Arabidopsis thaliana: one gene and its partner. The protein of the gene in region 1 purifies or fractionates together with the protein of each later gene. This does not show direct contact. Each region holds a gene or a part of one and is shown in the gene's direction. Other genes may lie near its edges. The genes, in order: CYCA1;1 and BON2.

Region 1 (5,369 bases):
AATAACAATATGTGTAATGTAAATTTAGCACTAAAGCTTTATTCTTCTTCAACCACAACACAAAATATCACACTAAAAATACTATTCTCACTATTATATTGTTAAATTGAACATTTTCTTAGTTAATATTTTAAAATTATCAATTAATGTAAAATTATAATCCAAAAATTTACATACTAAAAATAAATTACATCATACTAATTCTAACGACAACAAATGTTCAATTAACATTTCAAAATTCAATATGAGCTTCTCGATCTTAATTTGTCTATGTCGAGCTAAAAAACTGTTTTAATGGTTGATTGAAATTTGTTATGTATCTTCAATTAAAATTTTTATATTAATTTTAATATTTTCTACAAATTAAGATTTCATATAATTAAAATTTTAAATACAAAAATAGTTTTGATACATTATGTTTACTTCAAAACTTAATTAGATTGTTAAATAACAATACAAATCATATTTTATATACTATATATAACTAAATATACTATTTTAATAAAATTAAAATAAATAATAATATTAATTCAATTTTTGTTATTGTTATAGTAGCACACAAATATAGTGATTTATTATAAATAAAAAAAGAATCATACTATAATAGTGCAAAATATACACTTTGGTTGGAGACAGAAAGTTAATATTACCACCTCCAAATAACGTTTTGCCGTTCCATTGTACATCTTAAGACCATGTCCAATGTGACGGCAAAACGTTATCTTGACATGGGGATGTTTACTTTTTGTCTCCAACCAAACGCTATACTTTGCACTATTATGGTGTGATTCCATTTTCTTGTACAGTAAATCACTATATTTGGTGTATTACTGTAGCGACATCAAACATTTAAGTATCAATTTTTATTTTATTTTAATATGATTGTATATTAAAATAGCTGATACATAATAAAAATTCAACTTAACATTCAAAACATAAAATTACAAAACTAAAGAAAGGTTTTAAATTTAAACATCTTTGGAATTTGATGAATGATATGTGAGTATTAGTATTCTTGTAGTATTTTAATTTGTGTAATATTATGTGTGAATGCAATTGTATTGTCATTGTGTTACTTTTTTGTAATTAATTTTGTTTAACATACTATTTTGTTGTGTAATATTTATTTTTAATACTGTGTAATATTTTAAAATTTTAGTTAATAGTATAATAATAGAAAATATTAGCTTTAGTGTGATATTTAGTTTTATGGTTGGAGAAGAAAAATATTTTAGTGTGAAAACTACACCAAATATAGTGTTATTTCAATACTAAAATGGTGTTATGGTTGGAGATGCCCTAAAGATAAACATGACGAGACACGAGATTTATTAATTTCTTGATCAACCATAACTTAATAACTTAATATTAATTTCACTTAATAATTTCCAATTAAGTGAATCTTTACTTCACCAAAAGTTCCTAACGAACTCTTATTTTCTAGCATCAATATTACCATGAACTAGCATCAATACTATCATGAAAAATTCCTACTTCCTATCCAACTCTTAATAACAATGCTAGTCTTAACAATATTCATCAAAAACTTGATATAGACCTTCTAACTTAGCCACGACTAGTATCGGTGAATACCAAAATTAATGTATTCATGAGAACTTGAGATTTCTCTAATGTATTCTTGTTACTAAACAAGTAACAACACTCAAGAAATATCATGATCAAATATTTTACTCATAAACTCCATATTTCACATTTTGAAAATTTTAAACAGCAAATCACATTGAATTTTCGTGGTAAAAGTATTTAAAATTGAAAAATAGCAGCTCCTGATTTCAATGTATAAATTTATCTTTATATGGTTTATGTCTCCAACTTATTTTAAAAAAGAGAGAAAGAGCACCCAAAAGGTGACCGTTTGAAATTCGAATTTATTTCCGTTTGAAATTCGAATTCAAAAAAAGTAAACCGAACCGAGTCTCGTTACTGACTGTCACACATTGTTTCCCTAAAAGCTAATTAACCCATACGTGGCGTAATATAACAGGTCAGTGATCAATACTAAATAACAGACATACACCTTTAAAATTCGTGCACGCTCCAAAACAAAATCTACACTTCAAAATCAACGGTCACGATCATTCCTCAAATTTCAAAAAATTATTTAACCTCACTTCCTTCGCTTTGTTTTTAAAACCTCTCTCTCTTTCTCTTTCTCTTTCGCCATTAAAACTCTGTTTCCTTTTTCAGAGATTCTCAGAGAAGATTCATTTTACCCTAAGAAAAAAAATGTCGAACATTCTTCAGAATCGGCGATCTTCGTTTTCCTCTTCGACGAAATCTTCATTAGCGAAGCGTCAAGCACCATCTTCATCGGAGAATTCTGTTAAACTTATGCCGGCGATGACGAAGAAACGAGCACCGTTAAGTAACATTACCAATCAAAAAATCGCCTCACGATTACAAAATTCTGATTCGGTGAGGTTCTTCAATTTCGCTATGAATTTTTCAAAATCTTTCGTTTCTGTGATCTATTTAGTTTGATTTGAAGATTCGCTTACTCTAATTCACTATAGATCCATTGTTTCTTCGCTTCATTTTTTGTTGTGGATTTGGTTTTTGTGATCAATTTTGAATATGGATTCATTGTTTCTTTGATTGAATCTATGAGATTGCTTATTGATTTTGAGTTTGATTTTGGTTTTGTATAGGTACATTGTTCAAACAAGTCAGCGAAATTGAAGATAGCACCAAGTGTTTGCGTTAATGCCAGTTTCTCTAGCAATCTGCAACAAAGCATAGTTCCTCACAAAGTTGCTTCTTCACCTAGCAAATCTGATGATGGCTCAGTATCAATGGACGAGACTAGGTCTTCAAGTGATTCCTACAAGAGTCCTCAAGTTGAGTATATCGAAAACGACGACGTTTCGGCTGTTGTTTCGATTGAGAGGAAAGCTTTGAGTAATCTGTTCATAACGCCGAATTCAGAAACAATTGGTACTACTTCTTACTAATGGTTCTCTATGACTTTGTTGTTTATATTGTTTTGGTATTGAATTGATTTGCTTGGTATTGCAGATAATTATTGTAGTAGAGATGTGTTATCTGATATGAAGAAAATGGATAAGAATCAGATTGTTAACATTGATAGTAACAATGGTGATCCTCAGCTTTGTGCTACGTTTGCTTGTGACATTTATAAGCATCTTCGTGCTTCTGAGGTGATAACTCTTAACCAGAATGTGATATTTTTAGCTTTATGTGTTTGCAAGTTTTCTGAATCTGTGTATCATCTATATGCTAGGCTAAGAAGCGACCTGATGTTGATTACATGGAGAGAGTTCAGAAAGATGTGAATTCGAGTATGCGTGGAATCTTAGTTGATTGGCTTATTGAGGTGAATGATAGTTATATTGAGAAAATGTGATGGCTTTTGTCACTCTTGTCGATGTTTTATTAAGGGTTTTTTCGGTTTCTTGTAGGTGTCTGAAGAGTATAGGCTTGTACCGGAGACGTTGTATTTGACTGTGAACTATATAGATAGGTATTTATCTGGGAATGTGATTAGTAGACAGAAACTTCAGTTGCTTGGTGTGGCTTGTATGATGATAGCAGCGAAATATGAAGAGATATGTGCTCCACAAGTTGAGGAGTTTTGTTACATTACTGATAATACATATCTCAAAGATGAAGTTCTTGATATGGAATCTGATGTTCTGAATTACTTGAAGTTTGAAATGACTGCACCAACTACGAAATGTTTTCTAAGGTTAGTGAGATGATTGCTTTACAAAACAGATCCTTCTCTTATCTCATACAATTCTGTACTAATTACTAACCAGTTGGATCGTACAACTTGAATTTTCAGACGCTTTGTTCGAGCTGCTCATGGTGTTCATGAAGCTCCATTGATGCAGCTAGAATGTATGGCTAACTACATTGCGGAATTATCGCTACTAGAGTACACTATGCTCTCTCATTCTCCTTCACTAGTAGCTGCTTCCGCCATTTTCTTGGCTAAGTACATTCTAGACCCAACAAGACGACCATGGGTATGTTTAAACAACCTTAAGACACTGTTTTACTCTTTATAAGAATCATGTAGTAAAATGTGTTTGTTGTTTGGTTGGATCAGAACTCGACGTTGCAACACTATACGCAATATAAAGCGATGGAGTTGAGAGGATGTGTGAAGGATCTTCAACGATTGTGTAGTACTGCTCACGGCTCTACACTACCTGCTGTTAGAGAGAAGTATAGTCAACACAAAGTAAGTTGTTGTGTTTATTTATTTGTGATAACAATTAAGAATGATGATTAAGTTGTTTTATGTGCTAATAACGATTGGATTTTTGTGTTTTTTTTTTGCAGTACAAGTTTGTGGCGAAGAAGTTTTGTCCATCCGTAATCCCACAAGAGTTCTTCAACAACAGCTAAAAATCCTTTAATTTAACTTTGTTCCAATGTTGTGTTGGATTTAATTGTTTGATTGTACATGATTTTGCTGTTGTTGGTCTATTTATAAAATTAGCTATCTACGATCTCACTTTGAAAACTTGTTAAGCTGATTTATTTTGGCTTCCTCTAGAAAGTGACGTAATTAGGTGATATGATTTGATTGGTAAAAGTGGGAAAAGTTATTATCAATCTGCTTAAATATGCAAACAAACGTGTTATGCAGATTTCATGGCTATTATTGATCAAGTGATAAATGAATTTGATAAATTACTGAATTCAATGTTCAATTTAAACATTCTTGAATTGCAATATTCTTGATTTCCGTAAGACATCAAATGTTTTAGGACAAATGATTTTTGTAATATTACAGAGCGACAAGAAACAGAACCTATTAATAAAATTGATTAACCCCGTTAATTTTGTTGTAACCTATATAAAATATGTATGTCTTTGAGAACGAACAATTAAATGCTTCAGCTTAGTCGGTAATGGAATGAATGAATGATACATCTGAGAGGTTCCGAGTTAATTTTTTTGTCCGTTGACTTAACGACGTGTCCAAAATGGTAAAGTCACAAAAATTATCTATTTAATTATAAAGTCAACAACAACTTTGGTATTTAAGTGATATTTCAAAATTTTATATGTTTTTTTTCCAAATTTGAAAGTTTGTGCTTTTTCGATATTTTTTCCAAACAATATTTCTCAGTTTTGGCTCTTTTGAGTTTTAATTAAAATCAAATGACAAAATTTTTTTTGTAGAAAACTATCTGACGGTGATCTATTTTTGAATTCGAGTTTTTCGATGTAACAATTTTTTTTGGGAGATCAATAAAACCTAACTTAAACTAAATTTGGTTGTAGACCAATTAATCTTGTGGACGTAATGGATTTGGAACTTATCCTAATAATTGGTTTAGAACTTCCCTATCTTTAACTATGAATCCTAATCA
Region 2 (5,944 bases), on another chromosome or scaffold:
GAAAAAAGCGTTTGGTTACAAGTTTAAAACCTTAACAGGCATTCAACGGTAAGAAATGGGAAAAGTTCAACAGCGAGAAGGTGGCATCGCTTGCATATGGTCGGATTCAGGGGAAATCAGCTCTTATTGCCCATTTCCAGAACTCAAGTTTGATGAACGAAGACAAACGTTGCAGGCCTATTCTCTTCCACACTGCTGGTCCAAATGCTGGTGATCAGGTAAGGAAGACAAGGGCTCAATTGATATCCTTATTCAAACTATAACCTCTTTCTGTTGCAAGTAATCATATCATCTGGTAGTTATGTATTCACTATAGCGTGACACACATAAATTAGGTTCATAGTTGGTCCTAATGAGAGAACCTATTTCCCTTTCAATTAGCTGTTTTTGATGAGAGATTACTGCATTTGTAAATGTGCAGGAACCATTTCCAATGGGTTCAAACATCCGGTCAAGACCAGGCAAGCATCGAACAAATAGCATCGAGAACTACACCAACTTTAGCAGTAGCTCTGATAACCGAGACGAACCTGCAAATGGGAACGACTCCATGTAACCGATAAGCCAGACAGTTTTCATGTCGTAAGCCAGACTAACCCTTTTAGGCGTCTTGTATCAGAGGTAAAAGAAAAGAGACCCAAAAGATTAACACAAGGTAAAATATATATATATCGTTGACAACCCCACAGCTCTGTAAATCCTTGGGGGTGTGGTAAATTACCTGAGAAAACTCATTTTGCAGAGGAGAAAGTTTTTGAAGTCTTGGTCCCTTTAAACTCCTTCAGGTTACTTCACAAGTTTTGTTGTATCACTAAACCTCCCAGAGAAAACCTTGCTTGATTTTTTTTTCTTTTTGCTTTCTAAGTTTTTATTTTTCTGTTTTACTTAAAAAATTGTTGGGTTGTGTCTACAAGGATCTTTTTCTTTGTACTTTGCATACAAATGTAACAACCTAGTACGATGTGTTCAGTTTCTTCGCCCGTGGCTTGGGACCATATAATATCATTTATGTAAACCCTTTTGAGGGCGAAGTTTTTGGCATTGCTTTCTTCTCTTTTGGTTTTTAGTGTTTCTTTGAATCTTTAGTCGGTCACTTTATAAGCTTCTGACACAGTCAGTTGTTTAAGGCTTCCTCTTGGAATAAATAATACTACTAAGACACTTGGTCTCTAAATTTTCGACTATCAGAATTCTTGGTTGGATACATTTTTGGCCCCTGAGAGTAAGTGGCCCATTTATGGCAGTGGAGGACCTCCTTGGCTCCTTCTCCAGTCCAGCTCTTGTATCCATCCATTATAAGGCTTTGGAAAGAAAGAAGCAACTGGGTTTGGTCTGCAACACATACTTGATGATTCTCTTGGATAAGGAACCGATCTCATGAACTATATTCTATAATACTATATAGTTATTCTTGTTATATTTATAGAAACAAAAAGTTACTATATATGTAGTCCAGTAGTAATTATGCTTTTGAAAAAGTTTTGTTAGCCTTTCTGGTGGCGAAATCTTTTTTAATTGGTCATTACGTAAAATTGGTGTGTCTTATTATTCACGTCTCCCTCTAAAAGATGCGTTCTCTCTTTCTTTGTTCCTATTTCAATTACAGTCACACCGCATTATAAAATATATTTTTTTTAAAAATACTTTTATTCCCATAGAACTATAAACAAAATTATCTCTTAAACGTCGGCTTAATTCAAAAATCTGATACTAAGACAATTTTCCGATGTGGACCAAAATATATACAAGTAGACCGGTTGTAGTAAATATATTCACGTGATCTTACAGCCAATTTAATACATATGGACCATCTAGTTTTCCACTAATCAAACATAAACCTACACTAATTAATTTGGGGAATACTTAATTCTTTATGTTGTCAATAATTTCAAAACAACAATAAAAGGAAATTAAATGGAGTCAAGACAGATCGTCGACTTGGAAAAACAAAGGTGGGTCCCATCTAATTCACTGTCCTGATTTTTCCTCTTCTTTCCTTGTTCGTCTCCCCCCAATCTCCTCCTCCTCTTTTTTTGTTCTGAAGAGACTCTCGCCGTCTAATGGGAAGCTGTTGGTCTGATGGCTCTTACGCTGGTGGAGGAATGGTCGGTGTTGGTGGTGGGGCTAATTCCTCCGCCGCCACTCCTAACGACGCCGTTGACTACTATCTCAAGTCTCGTGGCTACAATGGCCTCTTTTCTCAGATCGAGGTCTGTTTCTTCCCTTTTCCCTTCTTCAAGACTTGAAATTTTTAGTTTCACTCATCTTTTTTTTCTTTGTTCGCAGTTATCTTTCTCTGCTTCCAATTTGCGAGACCGGGACGTGATTTCAAAGGTTCGTTTTTTTCTTCCAGAAAACTGATATTCCTGGAGCCAATTAAGTGTTATAGGTTTGATTCAAGGATAGTGTATATAAGCTTATATCATTACTTTGGTTGTTATATCTCAGAGTGATGCAATGGTGGTTGTTTATACAAAAGGAAGAGATGGAACACTTGCTGAATTGTTTCGTAGTGAAGTTGTTTTGAATTCTTTGAATCCTAAATGGATTAAGAATTTTACTATTGGTTATCAGTTCGAGATTGTGCAAACATTGCTGTAAGTGAAGTTCCTTGAAACCTCGGTTATATGTGTGAAAAACTTGAGGAAAAGGAATCAACTTTAACACCTTTTGCTGCACAGGTTTCGTGTCTATGATATTGACACTCAGTTTCAAAATTCTAAGGAGGAGGTATCTGCCAAAATTTTTCATCTTTTCGTTTGTCACTAGGTAGTCTTAATATAAGTTACACTTTTTTTTTAATGTTTTCAGTTGCTTAAGCTCGACGAACAGCAATTTCTCGGTGAGGCAACATGTACATTGTCCGAGGTATGCCAACCTCTCTATTACATCATTTTTAGTGTAAGGAAGAGAAGATAAACTTGCTATAGATTAGTTTGATTTAGATGTTGTGTTGACTGTGCAGGTGGTTACCAAATCAAATAGGACGATTGCTTTAGAACTTATGCGTAAAGAAGGTGTTGCTGCACAGACTCAGCCACAACATAATGGAAAGCTTATTGTTCATGCTGAGGAGTCTTTAGCTTCTAAGACCAATACAGAGATTGTATTTAGGGGGTTGAATTTGGAATCAAAGGATACTTTCTCTAAAAGTGTAAGCTATACTCTTTGACCAGTTTATCTCAGTATACTTCAGACATGAATATAACACTGTTGTTGTTCATGCTCAGGACCCGTTTTTGGTGATATCTAAGATTGTAGAGCACGGGACTCCAATCCCGGTCTCTAAAACAGAAGTTTTAAAGAATGATCCCAATCCACTTTGGAAACCAGTCTCTCTAAGTGTTCAACAAGTGGGGAGTAAGGTAAACCAACCAAAGGGGTTTATTATATCTGAGTTTTGTCTGACCAGGAAGATGTATTAGTTTCTCTTTTGTAATCTTGCAGGACAGCCCACTGGTAATAGAGTGCTTAGACTTCAATGGCAATGGCAATCACGATCTGATAGGGTTAGTCACAAAATCTCAGTTCCTTGCATTCTTTTTTGGTTGAGATATGAAAATGATTTGCTGAAGCTGAGATGATTCTTGTATCTTATTGGTTTTGCCAGAAAAGTTCAGAAATCACTGTCAGACTTAGAAAAGCTTCATTTGGCTGGCCAAGGAATCAATTTAGCCTTACCTACTGGTGTTGGACATAAACATGAAGATAGGGTATAGACCTTCAACAACAAGAGGTTTTTACACAATTTAAAATGCGAGAATTCTGATAACATTTAGCATTATTTCAGGTATTAAAGAGCCAGCTTTTCGTTGACAAGTTTACTGAAACCGTCCAGCATACATTCCTAGAATACTTGGCTTCTGGATTTGAATTGAACTTCATGGTTGCAATTGATTTCACAGGTAAAAAGATCTGAAAAGTGCAGAGTTTTTCTAGACTCTCTCTCTCTCTCTTTAAACTAATCCAATTTGTCCCTTCTTCCATCAGCTTCAAATGGAAATCCTCGCCTGCCAGATTCCTTGCATTACATTGATCCTACAGGACGATTAAATGCCTACCAGAGAGTAAGAACTCGATCTATTCAAGTTAATTTGCAGAAGCTGGTGACTGTGTGTGATCTTTCTTCTTTCTATTCAGGCAATAGTTGAAGTTGGAGAAGTGTTGCAGTTCTATGACTCGGACAAACGCTTTCCCGCATGGGGTTTTGGAGCTCGTCCAATCGACATCCCGGTCTCACATTGCTTTAACCTCAACGGAAGCAGTACTTATTGCGAGGTCTTGCAACAAATCCTACTCACATTGAACTAACTTTTGTATCAAAATTTCTCAATTAATCTTTGTTATTTGATTGTTTCTCAGGTAGACGGAATTCAAGGAATCATGAATGCCTACAATGGCGCTCTCTTCAATGTCTCTTTTGCAGGACCTACTCTATTTGGTCCTGTAATCAACGCTGCTGCAACAATCGCAAGCGATTCACTCGCTCAAAGTGCAAAGAAATATTACGTCTTGTTAATAATCACAGTGAGTTTATACACAACAAGACGTGTGATTTTCCTCTGATTCTTGTGTTTTTATCTATATGAAAATACCATGTCGGTTTTTTTGTAGGATGGAGTAATAACAGATCTTCAAGAAACGAGAGACTCAATTGTCAGTGCATCGGATCTCCCATTATCAATCCTCATCGTTGGAGTCGGAGGAGCTGACTATAAAGAAATGGAGGTTCTTAAACAAAAACGTTATGCTTAACTTCATTTGAAAAACTTCTTGAAATAGATTCTTACAAGGTTTATGTATTGGTTGTTTGTATAGGTACTAGATGGAGATAAAGGAGAGAAATTAGAGAGCTCCAGTGGTCGAATAGCATCGCGCGATATCGTCCAGTTTGTTGCATTACGAGACATACAATGTGAGTCTCGTGTTTCTTGATTTGTCAGGCAGAGTTTTGGTCTCTGATCATTGTGGTTGTTGTTGTTGTTGTTGCAGATGGAGAGGTCTCAGTGGTAGAAGCACTTCTAGCAGAATTGCCAACACAATTTTTGACGTATATGAGAAACCGTAATATTACTCCCACCACCACTACTCCATCTTCTACTTGATCCACACTCTCAACACTGTACATACATCAGTCAGTCACAGCTATAAACGCTGTCGTCTTATCTTGGCTTTTATTTTTGTTTTTTTCGATTTTATATTGTCTGGAATTTTTCCGTTTTCCAGTATTCCACGTCAAATTATATCTCATCACTCTTCATTATTATATTTGTTGTCAAAAACATAATTTATTATATATGCCAAATTATTAGTTGGTTTGGGCGTATTCACATAGATATGTACTGTTTCAACGGTCAACATATATAGTTGTTGACTTTCTTAATTTGGTTGGGATTTAGGTGGACTTTCTAAGTCTAACTTTTATTAAACGTGACCGTTGATTATTCTTTACCGTACTTGTCGCTGAAACAGATACTGTCTATTACAGCAACAAAACGAGACCTTAAAATATAAATATTCTATTATATAGTATCTATTTTTAATCTCATAATACTAAATCTGAAATTTTGTTTATATATACGTATTGTGTTATAATTATCATAAAATTGAAAGTAAATTTTTTAAAAAAGTTGTCAAGCCGTTTTATGCAAAAAAGATTTTTTTTTTAAAAAAAAAATTTACATTATGTGACGTCGTTAAACTCATTTTCCCTGCTTGGCAAATTCACAAAATGTTGTTTCTTCGTTCTCGTCAACAAATCTGAAAATACCTACACATGCCATGTGTATATCCTGTTTTAAAGTTTAATTTTTTCATTTAAATTCAAATTCATTGACATGTCGTTGTAAGATACTCTCAACCTTTTTTCTATCAGATTGACTTTCTTATTAAAAAAGTCACTTTCTTTTCTCGTAATCTTAGCTATATAATGTCATTTTTGTAT

The links.
Region 2: the proteins of CYCA1;1 (region 1) and BON2 purify together in Arabidopsis thaliana (affinity purification with mass spectrometry, with the first as the bait; one large-scale study listed by BioGRID). This does not show direct contact.

Annotation. Positions count from the first base shown.
Region 1 is NC_003070.9:16,774,061-16,779,429, reverse strand, and holds CYCA1;1 (Cyclin A1;1), read left to right. Parts: upstream 1-2,077; 5' UTR 2,078-2,247; coding exon 2,248-2,436; intron 2,437-2,669; coding exon 2,670-2,955; intron 2,956-3,036; coding exon 3,037-3,179; intron 3,180-3,262; coding exon 3,263-3,355; intron 3,356-3,440; coding exon 3,441-3,727; intron 3,728-3,826; coding exon 3,827-4,010; intron 4,011-4,093; coding exon 4,094-4,228; intron 4,229-4,329; coding exon 4,330-4,395; 3' UTR 4,396-4,665; downstream 4,666-5,369.
Region 2 is NC_003076.8:2,297,936-2,303,879, forward strand, and holds BON2 (Calcium-dependent phospholipid-binding Copine family protein), read left to right. Parts: upstream 1-1,789; 5' UTR 1,790-2,060; coding exon 2,061-2,210; intron 2,211-2,286; coding exon 2,287-2,334; intron 2,335-2,448; coding exon 2,449-2,597; intron 2,598-2,681; coding exon 2,682-2,730; intron 2,731-2,811; coding exon 2,812-2,868; intron 2,869-2,965; coding exon 2,966-3,154; intron 3,155-3,230; coding exon 3,231-3,365; intron 3,366-3,447; coding exon 3,448-3,509; intron 3,510-3,610; coding exon 3,611-3,713; intron 3,714-3,790; coding exon 3,791-3,905; intron 3,906-3,990; coding exon 3,991-4,067; intron 4,068-4,140; coding exon 4,141-4,278; intron 4,279-4,362; coding exon 4,363-4,527; intron 4,528-4,614; coding exon 4,615-4,728; intron 4,729-4,818; coding exon 4,819-4,915; intron 4,916-4,992; coding exon 4,993-5,105; 3' UTR 5,106-5,333; downstream 5,334-5,944. Other genes in the region: ML4 (MEI2-like 4), read left to right, coding at 39-218, 422-556. UniProt on the Arabidopsis thaliana protein: Negative regulator of cell death and defense responses. May repress a number of R genes and may have effects in promoting growth and development. May function in membrane trafficking and in fusion of vesicles with plasma membrane.